Schizosaccharomyces pombe: one gene and its partners. The gene in region 1 interacts genetically with each later gene. Each region holds a gene or a part of one and is shown in the gene's direction. Other genes may lie near its edges.

What was found.
Region 2: of sep1 (region 1) and ace2, changing one enhances a phenotype caused by changing the other (phenotypic enhancement), as found in Schizosaccharomyces pombe (one study listed by BioGRID).
Region 3: of sep1 (region 1) and spt8, changing one enhances a phenotype caused by changing the other (phenotypic enhancement), as found in Schizosaccharomyces pombe (one study listed by BioGRID).

What each region holds. Positions count from the first base shown.
Region 1 is NC_003423.3:3,132,720-3,140,638, reverse strand, and holds sep1 (DNA-binding forkhead transcription factor Sep1), read left to right. Parts: upstream 1-4,534; 5' UTR 4,535-5,152; coding exon 5,153-7,144; 3' UTR 7,145-7,419; downstream 7,420-7,919. Other genes in the region: thr1 (homoserine kinase), read left to right, coding at 1,072-2,088; dss4 (guanyl-nucleotide exchange factor), read right to left, coding at 2,731-3,033; DNA-directed RNA polymerase I complex large subunit Nuc1, read right to left, coding at 7,671-7,919. UniProt on the Schizosaccharomyces pombe protein: Required for promoter sequence element PCB-driven, M-phase-specific transcription. Acts as a transcriptional activator with a role in the regulation of mitosis. Regulates septation and the periodic transcription of cdc15.
Region 2 is NC_003424.3:3,237,358-3,244,159, reverse strand, and holds ace2 (DNA-binding transcription factor Ace2), read left to right. Parts: upstream 1-3,006; 5' UTR 3,007-3,192; coding exon 3,193-4,794; 3' UTR 4,795-4,928; downstream 4,929-6,802. Other genes in the region: RNA-binding protein Nop9, read left to right, coding at 1-902; SPOM_SPAC6G9.01C (uncharacterized protein), read left to right, coding at 1,828-2,008, 2,407-2,505, 2,590-2,597; ubi3 (ubiquitin-40S ribosomal protein S31 fusion protein), read left to right, coding at 5,798-6,250. UniProt on the Schizosaccharomyces pombe protein: Regulates the transcription of genes required for cell separation.
Region 3 is NC_003423.3:2,231,171-2,238,200, reverse strand, and holds spt8 (SAGA complex subunit Spt8), read left to right. Parts: upstream 1-2,422; 5' UTR 2,423-2,490; coding exon 2,491-2,545; intron 2,546-2,592; coding exon 2,593-4,118; 3' UTR 4,119-4,740; downstream 4,741-7,030. Other genes in the region: TPR repeat-containing protein Oca3, read left to right, coding at 563-733, 807-950, 1,014-1,159, 1,211-1,409, 1,487-1,675; bot1 (mitochondrial ribosomal protein subunit S45), read left to right, coding at 5,090-6,037; SPOM_SPBC14C8.15 (triglyceride lipase-cholesterol esterase), read right to left, coding at 6,419-6,595, 6,659-7,030. UniProt on the Schizosaccharomyces pombe protein: Component of the transcription coactivator SAGA complex. SAGA acts as a general cofactor required for essentially all RNA polymerase II transcription. At the promoters, SAGA is required for transcription pre-initiation complex (PIC) recruitment.

The sequences.
Region 1 (7,919 bases):
CTATAATAAGAAGAAGCTCAAAAACGGCTTTTTTAATTAGCACGCGCTTGGTACTTGCTAGACTCCATTCGTGCAATTTCTGCTTAAGAGAAAATCTTGACTGTTATCTTTGTAATGTACAATATCGCTGCATCGTTTCAATATGCTCCGATTCTATAAAGTACTTAGTGTTGCGTTAATTTTCTTTAATTAAACATTCCAGATGCGAGCACAATTCGTTATATTACAGAACTTGTGTTGGTAGTTCATTAGAATAAAATTGGCGAAAAAAAAATTTCTCTTATATAACATATATAGATAATATATAACTGCAAACTGCATTTTGTTCCAGTTTTCCGGATTTCAAGTTGGTTTTGCGAAAAAGTGCGGGTAACATGACACTTTTCAAATCAAAATCAACTTAATAGATTAGGCATTCGAGTGCGTAATTTCGTATTCGAGTTAGGGGTTCGCTTATGGGGATTCCCGATGTGCACGAAATCTTTACCAACATCAAATTTTACCTTTTTCACAGCATTTTCAGCGCACGATAACACTCTTGTTAGCAATTTGATTGCGCACAATTTAACTTTTTATTGAGTGTGTCCGGTGATTTTGTCGTGTTAAATCGGGAATTAAAGGTAGTAAACATTGCAACTTTCTGGCAGCGAAAACTATTCTTTGCCTATATCTTCATAGAAAGCGAGGCTTTTTTGGGTTTTTCATTTCCTTCAAATTATCAACCTTTCTTTTTTATTGTTTTTACTTTTTAATTACGAGCAATTTGATTGTTGGGAATAGATACTTATTATTTTTTTGATCTGGAAATATTTTGAAAATTATCGGTTCGCGGTTATATTATTTTCGTAATTTTTGCATTTCTCTTTTTCCTTGTTTTTAAAATATTTCGTGCATATTAAAGCGATCTTTCAACTTGTTCCTGCTTCTAGCAAGCCGTACGATTATAGAGTCGGTTTTCTTCAAGTCAAACCGTTCATTATTTTTTACTATTTAACAGATATATATATATATATATTTAATTTTTATTAAAACAAACTCATTTCTTTTGTGGTGTTTGCTTTTTTTGTGAGAATGCAGAAATTTCAAATAAAAGTTCCAGCTTCGTCCGCTAACATTGGACCTGGTTTCGATGTCTTGGGAATGTCTCTTGAGGAATACATGACCCTTGATGTGGAAGTATCCACAGAAAGCGGACCTTGTGTCTTGACATATGAAGGAGACGGTAAGGAACACGTTTCCTTGGATGTCCAGAAAAACATGATAACACAAACCTCTTTATATGTCTTACGTTGCAACAACATTTCTACATTTCCCTATGCTACCAAAATACACGTTATAAATCCCATTCCTCTCGGTCGTGGTATGGGATCTAGTGGATCGGCTGCCATTGCAGGTGTTATGCTTGCAAACGAGATTGCAAAACTTGGTCTATCCAAACTGCAAATGATGGATTATGTTCTAATGATAGAAAGACACCCAGACAATGTAATGGCGTCCATGATGGGTGGATTCGTAGGTTCATTTCTCAGAGAACTATCTGAGGAAGAAAAGAATGCATTTTCTCCATCTGCTGATGATTTATTGAAAAACGAAGCCTTAACTTTACCTCCCAAGTCTTTAGGTACTTTTGCCAGGCTTCCATGGGCTTCTGAATTAAAGGCAATTGTCGTAATCCCTGAATTCCATTTAGCAACTTCTAAAGCACGGAGTGTGCTTCCTACTTCTTATGGTAGAACTGATGTGGTTTATAATTTGCAACGCTTGGCTTTGCTCACAACTGCGTTAGGCCAAACTCCCATAAATCCTCATTTAGTTTATGAAGTGATGAAGGATAAAGTTCACCAACCATATCGTGCTTCGTTGATCCCAGGCTTGCAGAACATTCTTGCAACTCTTAACCCTGACACTCAACCTGGTTTGTGCGGCATTTGTCTTTCTGGTGCTGGTCCTACCGTTCTTGCACTAGCAACCGGAAATTTCGACGAAATTGCCCATGCAATGCTTAGCATTTTTGAAAAACACGGTGTCAAGTGTAGATATTTAGTTCTTTCACCTGCATTTGACGGTGCAACAGTCAAATACTTTTGAATTGGATAACTATGAATAATGCGTTGCCGTATATTAACACGTGAATGAAGCATTTACATGTATTTGGGATTCCAATTATACCATATAATTATCATTCCTTTTTTTTATTTAATATCACGGTTTTTTTTGGTTTTTTCTTTTTTGAATAAAATATAGATACAGTTATAAAATTTTATGCTCTTAGATTATATCTCTTGTCCGATTTATATCTATCGGTAATTACGAAGACAAAAGCTGATTATATGTACAACACATTCACTGTGCTTTCTTCAAATTTTAAATTAGTGCTAAAAAAACATTGGTTTAATCGTAAGGTATATTTTGTTTAGTCAAGGTTAATTTCATTTAATACCCGATAAGATTAAAATCTAATCACAACAAAGGTGTAAGCTACAAAAGAACTTTTTAATAAGAAACAAACATTATAATTCCATTTAAATATACCTAATTTCGTGGTTACTATTCAATATGAAACCACAACATACCTGTCTTTTGTAAGGCCATGTTGCAAGTCTTCTAAAAAAATATAAAGAATAAAAAGACACATGGAAAAGACCATTCCATATCAAATAAGTAACGTTTACAAAAATATGCTATAACCAAGATAAATAGCACAGTTGTTTGATAAACTTATTATTAAGCTTAGTTTTTCTCCAATGAGCACAGCAATAAATATTCATTGTTCTTAGAATCATAGTAGCCCAACGGACCTTTTTCACAATCAGCACAAGCAAGTAATTTATAATTATTTGCTAAGGGTTTTGATACGCTAACGTTGTCGAAAGCAAACGGATCTTTTAGAAGAAAAAAATCGTCAGTTTCTAGATCTTCTTGTGTTTCAGAATGCAGCATAGCTGACATTGTTGGCCTCTTAACAACATCTGGACGTTTGTTATTAAATACGACTGAAGGGCAATGTTGACAAACAATTCGCAAATTCGACATAATTTAGGAAAACAATATGGTGGTAGTTAGTTAGTAGTAAGCGCCAATCAGCGTTTTTTGTGGATATAACCTATTAAAAAAATAAAAATACAAGAGAAAACTTTTAAAAGTTTAAATGCTAATTACAAGTTCTTCAAATTTAATTCAATACATGTAGCATTCATTTCCAAAATAGGTACTGACGTGTCTAGTGCAATGAAGATATGGAAAACAATGTTTTGCATTTTGACGATAGAAGCAAATCAATAATTAGACGCTGAAAACTTCTTTTTTTTTGACATGCTATTTGGTTTCATAAATTAACATGGCCTGGTTTTCACTATATTTAAACTTCACCACATAATTAGTAAGTTATTATAAAAGAAAACGCAAAAAATTTTTATTTGCTCGTCTAATGTGTTCTTGAATATTGTCTTTCTCTTAATGTTAAACGAGACATATCAGTTCGCCTGATGCATTGGTTCATATAGTAGTTATTTTCAAATTTAGAAATTCGGACACATAATTCTTCTATCCTTCTATGTTAAATACAGAACCTTTTTCTTTCTACTCAATTTGCTTTCCGTGTTGCAACCTTGACACATACTAAAACTTTGTACACAGTGGTTTTTGAACTTTCTTCTAGTAACTAAAATTTTAGAAGTACGGCATTGAAAGAAATATTGTAATCAAACTTTGAATGTGTGCAGACTGCAAAATTGGGAAATTAGCTTGGCACTTGCAATTTTCAATGTAAATGTGTAGGAATCGTGTGCCATCCCTTCAATTGTCTAATATTTTAATTGAAATCTATAGAACTACGCTATTTTTGCTCGAATTATTGCTACTATGATTACTTTGTCTAAATCCTTAATAAAAAGAAGTATTCTTGATTAGCTCCGTGAACTTCTCGATTCAGTTATGTGACAAAGAATATTATTAGCTTCCAAATATTGAAATATTATTATTTTATTAACTAAATGAGTTTCTAAGCCAAGTCAATTTATCAATCATCGTTATTGTTATTGTTGAAATAATACAAAAAATATAACGCATGCTATTGATTCTTAACCAAATGTATTAATCACCTAAAATTTGTCAACCACTAACTGATATGATTAGACTAAGCTCAACTTCAACTTATACTCTCTTTATAGCAATATTTAAGTTGCATGAACATCCGACGTTATTAAATATTTTAGTATGAAGATAATATTATAGCTATTCACTAAAAAAATATTTCATAACTGAAACTAGTGCCTCATTTCATTTAAATTTCTAATTATAGGACCTCAAAAAATAAAACAACGTTTTACTGTATGGTTAATACTATGGAACCAGAAATGTGTCAAATTAAGGGCATACTTAATGAAGGAGGATAATTGGCAGCTTAACGTATCATAACGTATACCCTTATTACTGTTAGTAAAATACTCACAACCCAACATCGTAATCGATTTTTCGGCTCTATGACATATTGTCACTAAAATAGAGGATCCGCTTTCACGAGGTGGAGATTTCTATCTCATCTCGTACACTCATATTTTGGCAAACGTCCAAAATTGGAGCAATTCGGAGCATTTGATACGAAAGGATATTTGACACGATTGTGTATCACTATTACAAATCTTAATATTTTTATGCAATATTAGTATCTCGTTGTGCATTTCTCTCGTTTCTGACAGCATCCAGTATTGAGTTTGTATCTTTTGCTTCCTATACTGTAATACCTATTTCTATAATTATTTCTGTCTTAGACTTAAGACTTTATTTTTGGTTGTAAAGGATTGTGAATTTAGAGCACCACACTTTCTTTCTTTCTTTTTTTTGTGCTTCGGAATCGTGCCTTGTCGTAACACTAGTGCGAGAATCCAAGGTCGGACAATTTTTTTTTTGTCCTTTGAGTACTATTATTATTAATTCTTTTCAAATCTTTGAATTTTGCAAAATACTTCATTCTTTTTGGTCCGCATACTGACAATCTATGTTTGTGTAAGTCCGGAGTATAGTAGTATTCACTATTACTATTATTTTCCCTTAATTGGTTTTCTCTTTTAATCATTATTATTATTGGCATTGCCATTATCTAACGGTGCTTTAATTTTTGTTTTATTATTCAATTTGTCTGAACATCTTCCTCATGAATTTTAATTCTACTAACCCTTATTATTTTACTCATGAAAAAAACCTTAACAATGCTTCTAAGTACTCTGAACTCCCAATTGCTTATCAGGAAATTCCTTTGCAATCTTTACCACCTTATCCCAAGGTTGCTTCAAAGTTGAAGGGCGTAGTTGCAGGCGGAAAAGAAAATAACATTGCATCTTTTCAAAAACCTTCTTCAAAAGCCACTCGACCATATATACCTTCTTATACTAGATTGACTTATTCTGTTCCTCCTCTTCCCATACCTCCTCCTTCGGAGCAATCTTTGGATACTATTATATATCGAAACCCTTCTGTATCTTCTTCTCAGTCTCAAGAACCGGAGGAGTTTTTCTTACCCCTAGATGATGGAAAGAAACCTCCTTATTCCTATGCTATGTTAATTGGAATGTCAATAATCCGTTCTCCCGATCGTCGTCTCACTTTAAGTGCTATATATGATTGGATCAGCAATACTTTTTCTTTCTATAATAAGTCCAATAACGGTTGGCAAAATTCCATCCGCCATAATTTAAGTCTAAATAAGGCATTCATGAAAATTGAACGTCCTAGAAATTTACCGGGGAAGGGTCATTTTTGGAGCATTCGTCCTGGTCATGAAGAACAATTTCTAAAACTAAAGCTGCGTAAACCAGGAGTAAATTCAAGACCAGCGCCTCCTGTTCAAGACGTTACCTCCTCTACAAAATATGGATCTTCTACCGGTTCCTCTGGATTTAACACGTTTAATACTTCTCCCCATATATTTAATCAGCGACATCAATATCTTCAGAATTATTATACTGCATCCTTAACGAACATTCCGACGATCTCTAATGTTAATGCCACAAATTTTCATCCTCTTCATAGTCAACAACCCTATGTAGATACCCCTGGTATCGATGCACCTTCTGATTTGGAAGCTAAGTTTTCCGATTTGGGTGTTTCCTCTGTCGTATCTGTAACTTCTCCTTTACAATCATGTACAAATTCTCCATCTCCTCCTTTGTCATCACCAGCATCCAGTGCTTCTCCATCTGAATCACTTAGGAATGAATCTTTGGGAATAAAGTCAGCTAAATCATTGGGTTTGAATAAAGATGATGCACCAGTAGAAGGTCCACCTGTATCACATTTGGAGAAGGATGTTGAAACCCCTTCAGTTCATGATTCCGTGTTGGGTTTTAATGACACTGTAACGAATCTCGGCAAGAAAGGTTTAAAAGATGGTACAACTAATACCCTACAGATCCCTGCAGTCCGTTTACCTTCTTTACCTAGCTCGCCTACCATAAAAAATCCCAGTGGACTTTTGCTAAAGCGATCAAATTCTATTGATTTTCCAACCCCCCCGAAGGCCTTGTGTCCTAAATTGTTTTGCTTTCGTGATGACATCGTGGCTGATGACTACACTAAGTTTTCTTTACTTTCACCCATCCGTTCTGATATGAGTGGTATCTCAGCAAGTCCGAATACAAATTTGAAGGAGCATCGAACTCGTATCTTGCAAATGCTGGCTACACCTGATGCAAAGCAATTATCATCTTTAACATCATCTGATGCAGAGTTTTGGTCAGTCACGCCTTTGAAGTCTTCAATTCTACGTAATGGAGATGCATCTAAACAAGTAACGCTATCTGAAAGTCCTAAAGGTGATAGCTTACTTGATGGAGGATCATTATCTTATTTTACCAATAACATTAGTTCCGTTGCCGGCTTAGAAACACCAAGCAAGCTACCCATGAGCAAGTCGTTTGATACCTTTGAAGATGATTTTTTGGATCCCATGGATATGTTGAGTTTTGAAAATCACTTTTCCGACTTTAATAGCAATCGAAAAGTGTCTCCTGTTAAACGTGAGGTGCGTAGAAAATATATTTCTTCAGCAACTACTATTCATTCTTCAGCCGCGCAAGATGATACTTACTTGCCTTCTCCTACCAAGAGGAAAATGCCACTTCTTCGTCAAACTTCAACACTATTCTAAATTTGTTTTAGCACTTATCTACTTTTTATCCATGCTTTATTTAATGTGATATTTCTTCGTTCTAGTTAAAGACTGCTATGGGAATTCCTAATTTTACACATATCTTTTACCTTGGTTGCTTAATAAACTTTCAAACCCCCGATGTTACTTGTTCATTTGCGTGCGCAATTTTTTTAAATTTACGAAAGCTTTTAATTTATATCCGGCGAATTGTTCTCCCAGTTGCATATCTAATAGTCACATTAGCAATATAAAGCTTTATGAATATTTCGTAAACATAGTATACGCTTATAGCGTTTAGAAGTTTATCTCTTGTGTTATGTAAGAGTTGTAGATTAAACGTAATTTTATTTGTGGTAACCTATCTAAAACTTATATGACAAGTATTAGTTCCAAAACCCAATTTATTTATTTTATATATTTTTGTAACAAGTAGCCAATAAAGGTTTAATTTCCAAAATCTTTTATTTTGTCAAAACACACATTTTTCTAAAATTATTCCCCAACCGCAATAAATATACCTTTTTTAGTTTGCAGGAGAATCGACTACAGGGGTGAATATGTCAAAAGAACCGGTGCCAAAGTTACCGACTCGACCAACGACTAACCGAGATGAAGGATTGGATAAGTCATCAACATCACCACGGAGGGCGGCCTCAGTCAAAAAGTGACAAGTGGTCTCAAAAGACATTTTCGCAAATGGAGAAGTGTTATATTCTATTCCCATTCTATTGAAGGCTTTGTATCCTCCCTCGAAAGTCATATAATCTGCAAT
Region 2 (6,802 bases), on another chromosome or scaffold:
ATCGGCTTTGTGTTCATCCTATAGCCAATTTTATAATGCAACGTTACATAAGAAGGTTGGGAAGGAAGGAGATTGGTTCTGTCATTGATGAATTAAAGAAGAATACAGACAACATCATTAGGAAGTCATTTCTTCCAGTGTTAAGGACATTACTTGAGAAGAGTAACCATTTACATTGTTATCAAGATGACATATTTTCAATGATTCAGACAAGCGTAACAAATAGTGGAAAGGATGCCAACATTATTCCATGCTTGCTCCGATCGAAGCATAAACGTGATAAAGCCAACCCAGAAAACAAAGAGCGTAAACTTGTTAATAATTTACTGGGTGCTCAACTGTTAGAAGAAATGCTTCACTGTGAGAAACAACATATTCAGTTATTATTAGATAGCGTTTTAGATCTCTCAAAAGAGCAGATTTTGGAATATTGTCTGGAAACAGTATCCTCTCACTTGATAGAAGGAATTCTTGATTTATCAGACTTAAACCCGGTATTTCTTAAAAAATTTCTCAATATCCTTTCCGGATCATTTGCTACATTAGCTGTTTCTGCTCCTGGTTCGCATATTGTAGATAAAGCGTGGAAGGCCACAAGGGCATTGCCGCTTTATCGTACAAGAATTGTTCGTGAGTTGGCTGAAGGTGGTGACGACGTCAAATTTGATTTCTATGGCAAAAAAGTTTGCTCAAACTGGAAGGTCGAGCTTTTTCGTCGAGCTCCTGATGAATGGTATCGTTTCATGAAACAGGATGAACCATCTAAGCGTGTTCATGAACGTGCACGCCAGTATGGTCGTATTGTTTCTGGCAGTTCAGCCAATACTCAGCCTTTGGGGGAGAAGCGCAGCACTGAAAATGATGAAGAGCTTGAGTCCGGTCCTAAAAGAGTGAAAGTCTGAAGGAGAAAAGGTTTCCATTGGTTAAATTGAAATGCACGGCATTTTTACGTCTCGCCAATTTAAGCATGGCATTTTGTTGGTCAAAAAAAAGTTATGTTTTTAATTTAGGTAATATAGGTATTTAATTTTGTTGCGGTTTGCTATGTATAGAGGCGCTTTTGCAGAGTAAGGAAGTAAACTTTGTAAAAGGAATTGTATTTCTAATTATGAATTGATCAACTGAAGAAGAGGTTTCGAATTTTTTGAATTGTTCTACCACTAATAATTTGTGTTTTGTATATTTGTATTCAAATGTTTTGCCTTATTTCTCTAAGGTGGTTTCTAGGCTGAAAAAGAATTGACAGAGGTTTTGAGCTGATTTTCATTGTCAAATAGTATTCACTTTATTTTTATCTTATGCTTAATTACTAAAGTATTTCGTTTATTAAGCAATGAGATTTTGCATTTGTTAATTTGATACAGCAATAATTCGCTTCTTAAATGAAGACAAAAAGTGTTAATTTATGGTATTAGGATAGAGTTGACCTAAATATGCTTTTATAAAGAAAGCTTGGCCAAAGAATTGTCTACATTTTATTGCCGTTTCGAAATACCGATGACAGAGGTGATACAGCTTCTAAACAAAATTAAACAATTTTAAACATAATAAAGAACCAAAGGAAAAAAAAGGAATCGATCAATCTCATGCCTTAATGCTGGTACAAGTTTCTTCTGAAGAATCATTCTTATAAATATTACAAATTCTTTACCGTAATACGAGAGAATACGTTATGCAGATTTAAGCATTTTAGAGAATTCTTATTTTATGAAGCACGGTACCGCAAAAGAATTTCTAGCAAGTTTGCAAGCTACAACAAACTGTCTCTCTACTCAATTATACAATTGCCATTGACTTGGCAAACTCCTCTCTACGAGTATTTAAAAGATGGAAATCGACGACATTTTTGCTTCTAAAAAGGCAAACCCTGCAAATGAAAAGTCAAATGACTCAAAGTCGGAGGCGAAAGCCCCTAAGAAAGGAGCCAAGACAAAATCTACTCCAAGTCGTCCAAAACCTACTAATAACCAAGACGATTTATTTTTAGATCCAAAGGGAGCCTCAGGAAGTAAGACACTTTTTGCCGTTTGATAGTTCATCCTTACATACGTTCTCGCTACTTGGTTAATGATTGCATTCGTTCATGTTTGGCATCCGCGTTGTTTGTCAATTCTTTGACCTCAAATTCATATTTATTGTCTAAAAGATTGAGAAACTTCGAACTGTGCTATATACTTATTTATTTATTATATACTGCTAGAGCTAGATTACGTTTTTCTAGGGAGATACATTTCACAATGATGTTTAGTGTTGGTGGAGACTCCAAATCATTAAGCTCTATTGTGTGGTATTGAACCTTATTCGCTATTCTGTTTACGGGAATGTTTGCCGAACGATGCAATACTTACCTAGCAACGGCACTTTTCTCCTTATCATCAGTAATTGTATTAACGTTTTGTGTTTTAGGAAAGCGTACCGAGGAAGGGTTTCTTGTATATGACGAGGAGGAATTAAACATTGGCCAAGGTGGAGGTACACCGGATTGCCCTTTTGATTGTCAGTGTTGTAAGTAACTTATTCATTGCATTTAAAAACTTTTCCATGGCATTTTTTCTCTTGCTAGCTCTATACTAATACTAATACCTTAAGGTTTTTGATCTCAACGTCGTTGTCGTTTTTTCAGGTTGGTTACCGTTTTTTTTTGGCTTGTCATACTTAATCTATGTTTTCTAATATCATCCATGATCCAGTTGTTGAAGCGTAGACATTTTCATAGCCGTGATTATCCTGTTTATTAGTGGTAGTGTCTTTCAATCAAACCTTTTACTGGTTTAATTCAAAAAATAGTTGATTTGTCCCTTTGGCAACAAAAGGTAAATAAACAATCCCTGGGTCTGTGTTTACACTTGTATTGCGTTGTTGTGATATGGTTCGGTAATCCATGCAATGTAAACAAATAGTGACTTGTTTTGCGGTAAAGTGAAGCATAAAATTCAACAATTGTCGTCATAGCAACGGAGTAGCTATTTGATATAAACAAATAGCCAGCGCACCAAACATTGCTGTAACAAACAAAAAAAAATCGAAGAGTGATTAGTTCAATCATCTACTGGGTTAGACTGGCTTTGAGCCACACTTTCATCTCACTTCAAGTTATCAAGCACTCTTTTCAAGAGTCATTTCTCTCATCGTTCTCTCCTTGATTTCTCTACGCATTGCACTAGATACTCGCTATCCTAAGTAAACAAGACAATGTCGCTTTCATATTTATCATCTTCTTCGCAAAAGTCGTTTGAATCATTTCGACAAGAAGAGAGTCCAGCTTGTAATCATTCGTACCAAAGGGATTATGAAACTTTTGGCGATAGCAAGCATACTTCTTTTTCCTCCTTCGCTCCCTTTGAAAATGAGGTGTCTTTAAATCAAGCTGTTATCCCTTCACCGCCTTCTCATCTTCAGAACTTTCAAGATCAGTTTGACTATAGTTCTGTTCTAAAAACACCGTTTAACCCTTTGTTGGAAGCGAATTCTGCATACTTTTTATCGAACCAAATATCGCTCCCCGACTCTCACTCGTATGCATCCTCCTTTGATGCTTCCTTATCACCCCCTTCCTCGCCTTTAACTTGCGTATCACAAATCCATACCGAGCAAAATTTTAATAACAATGACGCATTTTCCTTGACCAACTCTCAACAGGCCTTTTCCGAAATTGGTTATGATGCATCAAATTGGATTGATGAGCTGGACTCTCAACAACAAGTCCTTTCGTTTCCTGAGTTTGACATACCAGAAATAAAGACGGAAACTTGCTCCAACAAAGATCACCTCGAAAATTTCGACTACCTTTCCTCAAGTATACCTGAAACCTCGGGTCCTGCCTCTTCCGTTCTTCCCAGCTCTTCGCAATTGGAATCATTTAATGAGTTTATGTTCCTCCCATCCTCTCCCCCTGGATTAGATGAGATAAACGGTGCGCCTTCATTTGAAGAATTGAACTTTCAAATATCCCAACCAAGTCCGGCACATCCTGTAGACTTATCGAGTCCAGAGACTGCACCTAATATCTCCCCTGTATCCCCATTTGCCCAACTTGTAAAGCTAGAGCCCACTTCGCCTCAAAAGCCCTCCTTTGCTCTAGATTCTTCGTTTTCCCATTTGGATGTATGCAGGCATACTGACAACCAGAAAGCGTTTGCAAAGTTATCATCACCTGCTGAATACGTTTCTGAATTTGAAAAATTCTCATCCGTTTGCGATCATGGACTTGACATATCGAACGCAAATATCAACAACACTTTGACACAGCAGTTTGCATTAAGTGCACCTTATGAATCTTGCATAGTTACCAAGAAACCTGAACCTTGTATCACTGTCAAGGAAGAAGAACAATTAGCTCCAAAAATTGAATCTGCTGATTTATCAATTACTCCTCAAGTCACCGAGCATGATTCCAAACCTCCGGTCAGAATTTCATACGATCATAGATGCAAAACTCGCAAGCAATCAACTAGGATTTGTAGAATTCCTCCGGAGACAATGGCTAGCTTATATTGCGGCCCTGAAGCAGATGGAAAGTACGTCTGTTTGTACAACGGGTGCAATAAACGTATTGCTCGCAAATATAATGTTGAATCGCATATTCAAACACATCTGAGCGACCGTCCGTATCGCTGTGACTTATGCAAAGCTGGCTTTGTTCGTCACCACGATCTTAAGCGTCATCTGAGGATTCACGAAAATGGCAGGCCATATGTATGTGAATGCTTAAAGAGATTTAACCGACTTGATGCCTTAAATCGGCATAAGCAGAGAAATATATGTGTTGGCGGCGTAGATCGCAGACAGCACTAATGATGACAGCTGTACAACTTGCATCGCATTGCATTATAATGAGTTATGTTTGGTTTTTTTTTGGGATTTTTTAATTTTACTAATATTATTGTTTTTAATTTGCTTTTATATAAATTCAAATTCAAGCATCGTACATGAACTAATGCTGTGACAATTTTGATAATTTATCAACTTGTATCTGTCTTTTGTATATTTATTCATCACCCTAGTATTGTGTATAACTCTGCATCATCTAAAATCTACAGATTAATCTTTGTGAAATGGAAATACAACTATGAAGTTGTTCGTATCGTTGAACGGCTGAAATGGTAAAACTAGTTTCCCCAAACCTGACAAACAACTTGGATACATGAGTAAGAATTAGTGTTTGCTTTCACTCGCACCGATGTTTAGTCAACATATGTTTAAGTTGGTATTTCTAGGGAAAACTTGTATTTAATTACTATAGTATGCGAAGTATTTCATTGGAAAACAGTGGTTGTAGTATGCTGCCAAGCAAGCATTTATTATGATAATAATAATTCAACAAATTAATCACTATGACTTAAACAGAGAAACCAATGATTGTTTTAACTATTATTGCTGGTCATTGGAGGAAATTTTGTCGGCAAGAGAAAAGATAATTCATTTCTATTTGCAAAGAACCAAAAAATACGAAAACTCGTCGTAGCTTATGCAAACACAAAATCACAGGTTTACAAGCCTTTACTACACTAAATCACCATATATGAATCATTCAATAGGATATAATTGACATCAATTAGTGACAAACTGTCGATATTAATACAAGGGAATCAGGATTTTCATTTCAGCATTACGATTTTAAAAATTGTGAGAAATGTTAAATTGTGTTATATAATTAACGCAAACGTTAATTCTCAGTACGAGAAACTTGCGTTACACCCTAACCTACGTGAGTTAAAACCAGTCACGCATCCATATATCACAATGCAACATCAATATTTTCCTCCATCCGCGAGGAAGAGGCAATACTTTGCTGACGATGCAGATCTTTGTAAAAACCCTTACGGGTAAGACCATTACCCTTGAGGTTGAATCCTCTGACACTATTGACAATGTCAAGAGCAAAATCCAAGATAAGGAAGGAATTCCTCCTGATCAACAACGTTTGATCTTTGCTGGCAAGCAACTCGAGGACGGACGTACTTTGTCTGATTATAACATCCAAAAGGAGTCCACTCTTCACCTCGTTTTGCGTCTTCGTGGTGGTGGTAAGAAGCGTAAAAAGAAGACTTACACTACTCCCAAGAAGATCAAGCACAAGCACAAGAAGGTTGAGCTCGCCGTCCTCAAATACTACAAGGTTGAGGATGATGGAAGCGTTAAGCGTCTTCGTCGTGAGTGTCCCAACTGTGGTGCGTCCACCTTCATGGCCAACCACAAGGACCGCCTTTACTGTGGTAGATGCCATTTGACTCTTAAGTTGGAAAACTAAACTTGAATGAAATAGTATTTTCTACTGTGGTCTAGACATATCATCATGAGCAGTAATTGTAGAATATTAAGATTGAAATAAGCTGTAAAACTTTTAAAAATAATTTTATAAGTAGATGCATGAGACTATAAATTGTTCAAAATGAGTATAGATTCATCACTTGGTTCAGTGATCGTTTTGAATAGTACCTGAGCACATTAGCAACTCGTGGAGTACTATTTTGCTCAATTCACTTTTTTTCAGAATTAGAGAATGAAAGAAGATTTCTTCAAATTCATGTGTAGTCGTTACGATTAATACAACCTAACTTTTACATACAAGTAGCATGCGAATACTTTTTGGTCGTCGAAAAATCATTCCAACCAATATCTAAATAAATTTCTTTTGCATGCAACTATGTTAAAACGAAAAATTAGCCTTTATATTAAAAAAAAAAAAATATTCTATATCTTTGAACGAGAGTAACAAAAAAGGCTCTTCATTGAATTGAAAGCCTTGGTTAGTACTATCTGCTTTCCATTTAGCGAATTTTAAACCATCGTTATTTCATTG
Region 3 (7,030 bases), 900 kb from region 1:
GATTTAGAAGAATTTAAAATTGAAGCATTAATATTTTGTTATAACAATGTCAATAGTTGTCAGTTTCAAAAGAACTATAAATGTCACTTGAAAATGAATATCAGTCAACATACTGACATTTCCAGAGATTGAAGAGAGTACCCATTGTAAAATTTTGCTTTCATTTTAATTAAGAAAATCTAAATAAAATAGATAGGGATTTATTCCTTTGTAGTCTAATATTACAAAATTTAACTCAATCATGCAAAAAACAATATTACTCATTGTAAAGTTGATTCGCTACCGTTCGTATTCAGTAAAAAAGAATTTGTAGATGAAATAAACTTTAATTCAAAAAATAAAAATCAACACTTAAAAAATGTGAAAGCTGCAAATAGCAAATCTACTAGCTGTTCAAAACGCACTCATCGCCTATCACTATAAAACCCTAGTTTTGCGCTGGGACTTGAATATTGGGTATTTGGATAATTACCTTATTGATTGATATTTCATAAAGCAGAAATTAATTGAGTCTTTTCTGAATATTCATAACTTTTCGTTTTACGGAAATCTGGAGTTCAAAATGTCCAATAGTATTCTTAAAGTTCCTGATCAGAACCCTCAGGAGATAGTTGCGCTTTTTTCGCAACAGGAAGCATATGCAAAGCTTGGTAAATACAAAGATGAGATTTGGGATGTCTATCAGAAGGTGTTTATTGCAGCTTTGACTACAGGCGAAACAGTTTTAGCAAAAGTAAGGATTTCTTCATTCAACGAAGTCTCGATTGCCCTTTATATAGCACTATTAACTTAATTTTTTAATTTAGAAATGCTGGAATCGTTTAAATGATAGATTTCATAAATCTCCTAGGGTAGAAGGACTTTACGGCATGTTCTTGGAAGCTACAGCCAGCGAGAAAGATGCAATGAGTTATTACAATTCTAAGCTTTCAGAAGATCCAACTCATACGGTAAGATTACATGCCTTGGCTTATACTATATCAATTCGCTGCTATCTAAGCTAACTTCATCAGGTCATCTACAAACGAAAATTGGCTTTATTGCGTTCTATGGGACAAACGAAAGAATGTATTCAAGGACTCATTAATTATCTTGATACTTTTTATAATGACTTGGAGGCATGGGCAGAACTTGCCGATATATACGTGTCAGTGGAAGCGTAAGTCATAAAGAATTTCTGTTTATCTCTGAATTCTAATTGATTGTATAGGTTTGAAAGTGCTATATTTTGTTATGAAGAAATGGTGTTGCTTCAGCCTTTCGAGCCTCGACTTTTTGCTCGATTGGGAGATTTATATTTTGTTTTGGCTCAAAGTAATGCAACTAACTATTGGTTTTCGTTGAAGCATTATTGTCGCTCGGTTGAAATTTGCGAAGAGTATTTCCATGGTTGGTTCGGAATCTCAAAGGTAATTTATCCCTGCTTTTAACTTTATTTATTATTTCTTTGAATATAACAGGAATTTAATGATTAACAATTTAATAGTGTTGCCAACAATTACTAGAGTTATCAAGAACGGAACTGAAAAGATTATTAAGCAAAGTAAATGAAAAAATTTCCGATACATTCCCTGACACTGAATCTGTACGACAGCTCTATCAACTATCTTTAAAAAAGTCGGATCTCTTCGCTCAAAAGCAACCTAAGTTGAAGGCTTTATTGGAGCAATGCTAGAAGGGTATAGAATATGTGGTGTTTGTTTCTTTAGTTTTAACCAAAGTATTTGTTACTGGAAATTTACTCGATCTAATATAATAATTTGTGAAACTTGTTTATATCTTCTTCTTAATTGTAGAACTATGTGCGCGAAATTCTCGGTTTATCTTTTTGTCCTGAATTCTTTCGCCGTAAACTTTTATATAAACTTAAAGCCTTTTAATTTTAATTATATTTTACGGTCAATTTCAATATTTCTTTAGTTAAAAGTTACTAAATTTTTGACTGCTTGCAAGCCCCAGAGGTTATAAGTTTAATAGATCACTTACAAGTTTGTTAAAACACATATTCTAATACTTGATTTTTCAACATACCTGCCATAAGTATCAATCTTTTTGTTGTTTCTTAGTACGGGCGACGTGAAACCATAAAAGTAGTATACTGGGTGCTACGGCGAATAACAGAAATATGTTTCCAAAGAGAAAGTGCTTCCTATTTTTTCTATGAAAGTAGATTGATTATAAAAAACAAAGTTTACCTTGTCAAACTTCCCCATTCATTTACCTAATGTTCATTGCGGAATAGTGTTTTCTCTCGCTACTTATTTATCTTAAACGAAATAAGGATCGTTTAGTTGTACTCTAATGGTAACATTCAGTGAAACTTAAGACTTTATTAAAGCTTTTTATTGAGGTATAGCGTCTACGCTAAATATATTCAACGGTCTTAAACTTATAATTCCTTTTAATATCTCAGAGGGAACGTAAACAAAACATATTGTTGCTGCATTGCAGCATTTTAAGGTTACAACTCTTTTTGTGTATATTTTAAAGATGGAAGCAGAAGAGAGTGAGTCCTTTTCATATCCAATGTTGCTACCTTCTGACGGTTCGTTTTATAAACGAGATATCACTTCTTACTGACTTCAAATCTAGGACTTTATCCAGAAGACGATGATGATGCGGATATGGATCAGGATAAAAATCCTGAAGAAAATGTAATGAACGAAAAAGAAGATGAGGATGTAGACGCGGTTGATGAGAAGTCCGGTGAAGAAGACGTGGAGATGGATACAATGGAAGATGAAAACGAAAACGATGAAGATACTGAGCAAACCTCTGAAAAGAAGGAAACTGAAGAAACACCAAAGGAAAATCCACTTGAGAAATTAAAACAAAAGGCTTCAACGGCCAGCTTTTATGATGTGGTGCCTACCCTGGCAATCCCTATGGCTACCAGCATAAACGCATTTGCTTTCACATCGGATTTAAAATGGCTTTTCACTGGTGGGGAAGACGGATATATAAGGAAGTATGATTTTTTTCCTAGCATTAATGGTGATCTCTCCCTGACTGTTGCACAGAGACATCCCTTTGTGGATACAGTAACGAAGGCTGGAATATTACTCAACTACTGGGAGAATGCTTACGATGGAAATAAACCATCTTCGGTATATAGCCTTGCAGCTCATTCCAGAGGTCTTTGGGTTCTTTCGGGCGTCAATAATGGAGATATTATACTGTACTCTACAAGACATCAAGAGGGTTATCCCGTTACTTCTTTAAAAAAGCATACGGCTCCTGTTTCGTGTTTAGCATTACATGGTTCCGAGAAAAAAGTATTGAGTGGAAGCTGGGACAAAATGGTTTATTACTGGGACCTTAACACTGGTGATGCAATATCTACATACAATTGTGAGAGTGGTCAAATTTCGAATATAGTTTATCGTCCATCAGGCGCTGTAAATCCTTGGGGTTCTGAATCGGACGACATGCGTAGTTTGTTCGGTACACCTGCGTCTTCCTCTTCTTACGATGCACTGTTTGATGAAGAGGTGGAAAAAGCCATTGAAGAAGAAACTAAATCTGTTCAAGCAAATGAGGAGAACGAGACAGAAAAACCCTCTCAAACCGAATCTACTACTAACAATGACAACATAAAAGCTCCTTCCGAATCTTCATCCGAAGAGTCCAATATTTTCTTAACGACGTCTATAGATGGAGTTATGAATGTATGGGACCATCGCATGGTCGATTCTGTTCTCAAATACCCCGTCCCCAAGGGTGTACCACCATGGGCTATGTCTGCATGTTGGAGTCCGGATGGAAATAATATATATATTGGCCGCCGAAATGGAATCGTCGAAGAATATAACATTCACTCTGGCAAGGAGCCTGTTCGCTCTTTAAAAATGCCTCTCGATTCGGGTCCTGTTTCAAATGTCTATTCGATGCCGAATGGCCGTCACCTTGTAATTTCCTCCTTTGATAATATCCGCCTTTATGATCTTCAAAGCAAGGCCGGCATAGGGTTCTTAATTATTCCAGGTCATCATGGAGGTCTTGTCAGTTCGCTTTATGTAGACACTTCTTGTCAATTCATGTTTTCAGCTAGTGGAAATCGAGGATGGCAAGGAACTACTACTGAAGTGTTCCTCGGATACCAAATAATGACTTCATAAAATGCTTTCTCTAAAACACATATTCGCAATAATGTACATTATGATAATAGACTGAAAGGAAGTGGGTTACGATTTAGTCGGTCAAATACAAAATGGTCTTTGAAAGGCACTTTGGATTTTGCCTTAGTAGGGTCAATTATATGCCTATTGTCGTTTAACTTTAAAAATCTTTTTGAATTGTCTCCCTTTCAACATTTGAAATAAACATCTCAGTTAAAGTTTTTAGAATAATTGTTAAGCCCATGCACTCTTCATTAGTTGATTGCTTTTTGGGTTTTTGGTTACTCTCTAAATAATTTGAGGTAAGTTTATAAATGTTTCCTTAAACCTATTTCCCCTTTTTTGCCGAATATAATAAACTTAGGTATTAAGCTGAGATTGTTGGTTATGAACTTTCTGACAAATATGATACACAAATCGTTTTGTTTGTATAACATGTATTCTAAAACTTTCCTCTACTTTAATTTTCAATTTGGAATTTCCTAATCAATTTAATGCCATCCATCCGCTTTATTATTTGTTGATGTGTCAATTGCCAAACAAAAATATCAAGGACATGCGAAACTCTTGTCTAAAGAAGCAATGACCGTATTTAATGAATTTTTTTCGTTTGATTCTGTAGAAATTATGACTTAAATTGTGTATTTATTTTTTAAGTATTGATGTGTATAACTGTTCGTATCCTAATATTGGAACTGACTCTCAAACATTCTATAGAATAAACAAAATCTTACTTTATTGCATACTGAGAGTTATTGTCTCATAAATAAATCAAGCGTCTGTATGTTAATCGGATCTTATAATGGAGCTAGATTGCTTGACCGCCGGAGGTTAAATTTGAGTTTTCCTAAATCGTCTCATTAATTATTGGTTTTTTGAAGTTTATTTTCTATATCTATCTTGATGAATAGAATTAGGGCGTGTTACTAACTTTTGGGGAGTGACACAAGAAACCTTTCCAACGCACCTAAATGAGGAATTCAGTGGAATTCTCACAGTTAGGGCTTAAAACGGCTTTTAATTTATCTCAAAATAAAACTTATACCTCAGCAGTCAAGAAACAATTCTTTAGTACTGGAGCATTTTTAAGCAATGGGGGAAATATTGATTTAAATAAACACACTCAAAAGAACATTGATTCAAAGTACGTTGCTTGCAACTCAAGATCTGTAACACCCCCAAATGATGTTGCTTCTTCAGTTTCTAAGAATACACTTCGTCATAAACAACGTTTAATGATGGCTCAATGGTTAATGTCTCCCGAAGTACAGAAAGCAAAGTCCTCATCATCTGGTAATGTAGGCTTGGGACCTAATACAAATCAGCCCTTCCCTTTAAACCCTTTTTTTAAGCCTCCTAGGCCTATATCTCATTCTTTGCGTATGAAAATTACCGATGAATACTTGCAGGGTGCAAGTATAGAAGTGCTTGCTCGAAAATTCAACACATCTCCACAAAGGATTGAAGCTCTTATAAAGTTGAGAAGAATAAATGATGAATTCGAAGAAAAAAAGAAGCCGATTCTTCATAGTTATAATGAAGTTATGGAGAAAATGCTGAACGCATGTACTAAACCTGAGATGATGCAGTTTAATGACGGAAACGATATTCCTTTGCGTTCCAATCCAGTATCCCTTTGGAAGAGTTTGCCTGAGGGAGAAACGTTTACACCTCAAGAGGCTGCTAAAATCCTGAAGTGGCCTTCGATTGAGGAATTAAACATGAGACAAAACGCTACTCACTTCCACAAAACATCTGATGAGCACAAAGATTTGAATGAAGATGAAGAGCTAATTTCTTCAAGCCCCAGCGAAGTTGGGAAGCGTGTTTTTAGGCTCATTGATCTTTCTACTGGTAATGTGTATAGAAGGGATACCGGCGGGGATATTTATGTTAAGAGAAAAAAATCTACTACCTGAAAATCAAGCATTTATTTCCCGTTTTTGAAAGAAAATTTACCCCCTTAGCATGCATTAGCGGCAGTACAATCCATTTCAAACTTTTGCGAAATAAAATCTTGAATTGTTACAAATTCACTCAGCAAATTCTTCTAGTTGTTGCATTATCTAAAAGTTATTTGTACATATAAAAATTGCATAGTTTTTTTTGCTTTCGTTGCCATATTGACTTTTTCAAATTAAACAAAGAAACTTTTTTTAGCCGTTTAATACAAATACTGATAAGAAGGGTTGCACATACGATGAAACAGTCTATACAACACTGTGCTTCAGTTTGATTTAGAACAGAAACTTATCTAACATATTAAATATACATTGTGCCAGTTTCAGAAGCGATGAACACTATATTGTATGGTTCATAACGCCGTCAACCAATTCTGTGTCAAGTCCAAATTCTTCTTTTATGCTTTCAAAGTAATCTCCAGCAATGACATGATTTAGTTGTTCTACGACTTGCTGAATTACTATGTCCTTTTTCGTATCTCCCATGATGATGTCGAGATGCTCATAGTTAGGAATCTTTAATTTTAACTTGTTAGTTTCCACTTAAGTAAATGAAGCTACAACTGTTTCAGAACATACCTGAATGCATTGAGATAATGGTGGAAGTTGGGTCTTGAGTGTTTCAATGTCCACCATGTTATCGTTACTGCCATAAACTAAAGTAATAGGTAGACGTATATTTTCAATCGGATAGCGAGCAATTCGGTTAAGATTTGTATAGTAACTTGGCTTAAATCCTGGACTGTCATCGTACATTTGTAATACTTTGCGACGCGTAATTTGAGCCCAATGTACAAAGCATTTGACAGAAGTAAAGGAATATAGATGGGAGTATGCAACGATTTTCTGAGTTTCGGAAATATTTTTTCCGGTCCAGCTCAGAAAAAAGCGAAGAAACAGATCAACAATTTTTGCAAAAACTGGCGGATATAAAACTGCTTGCCAAAACAC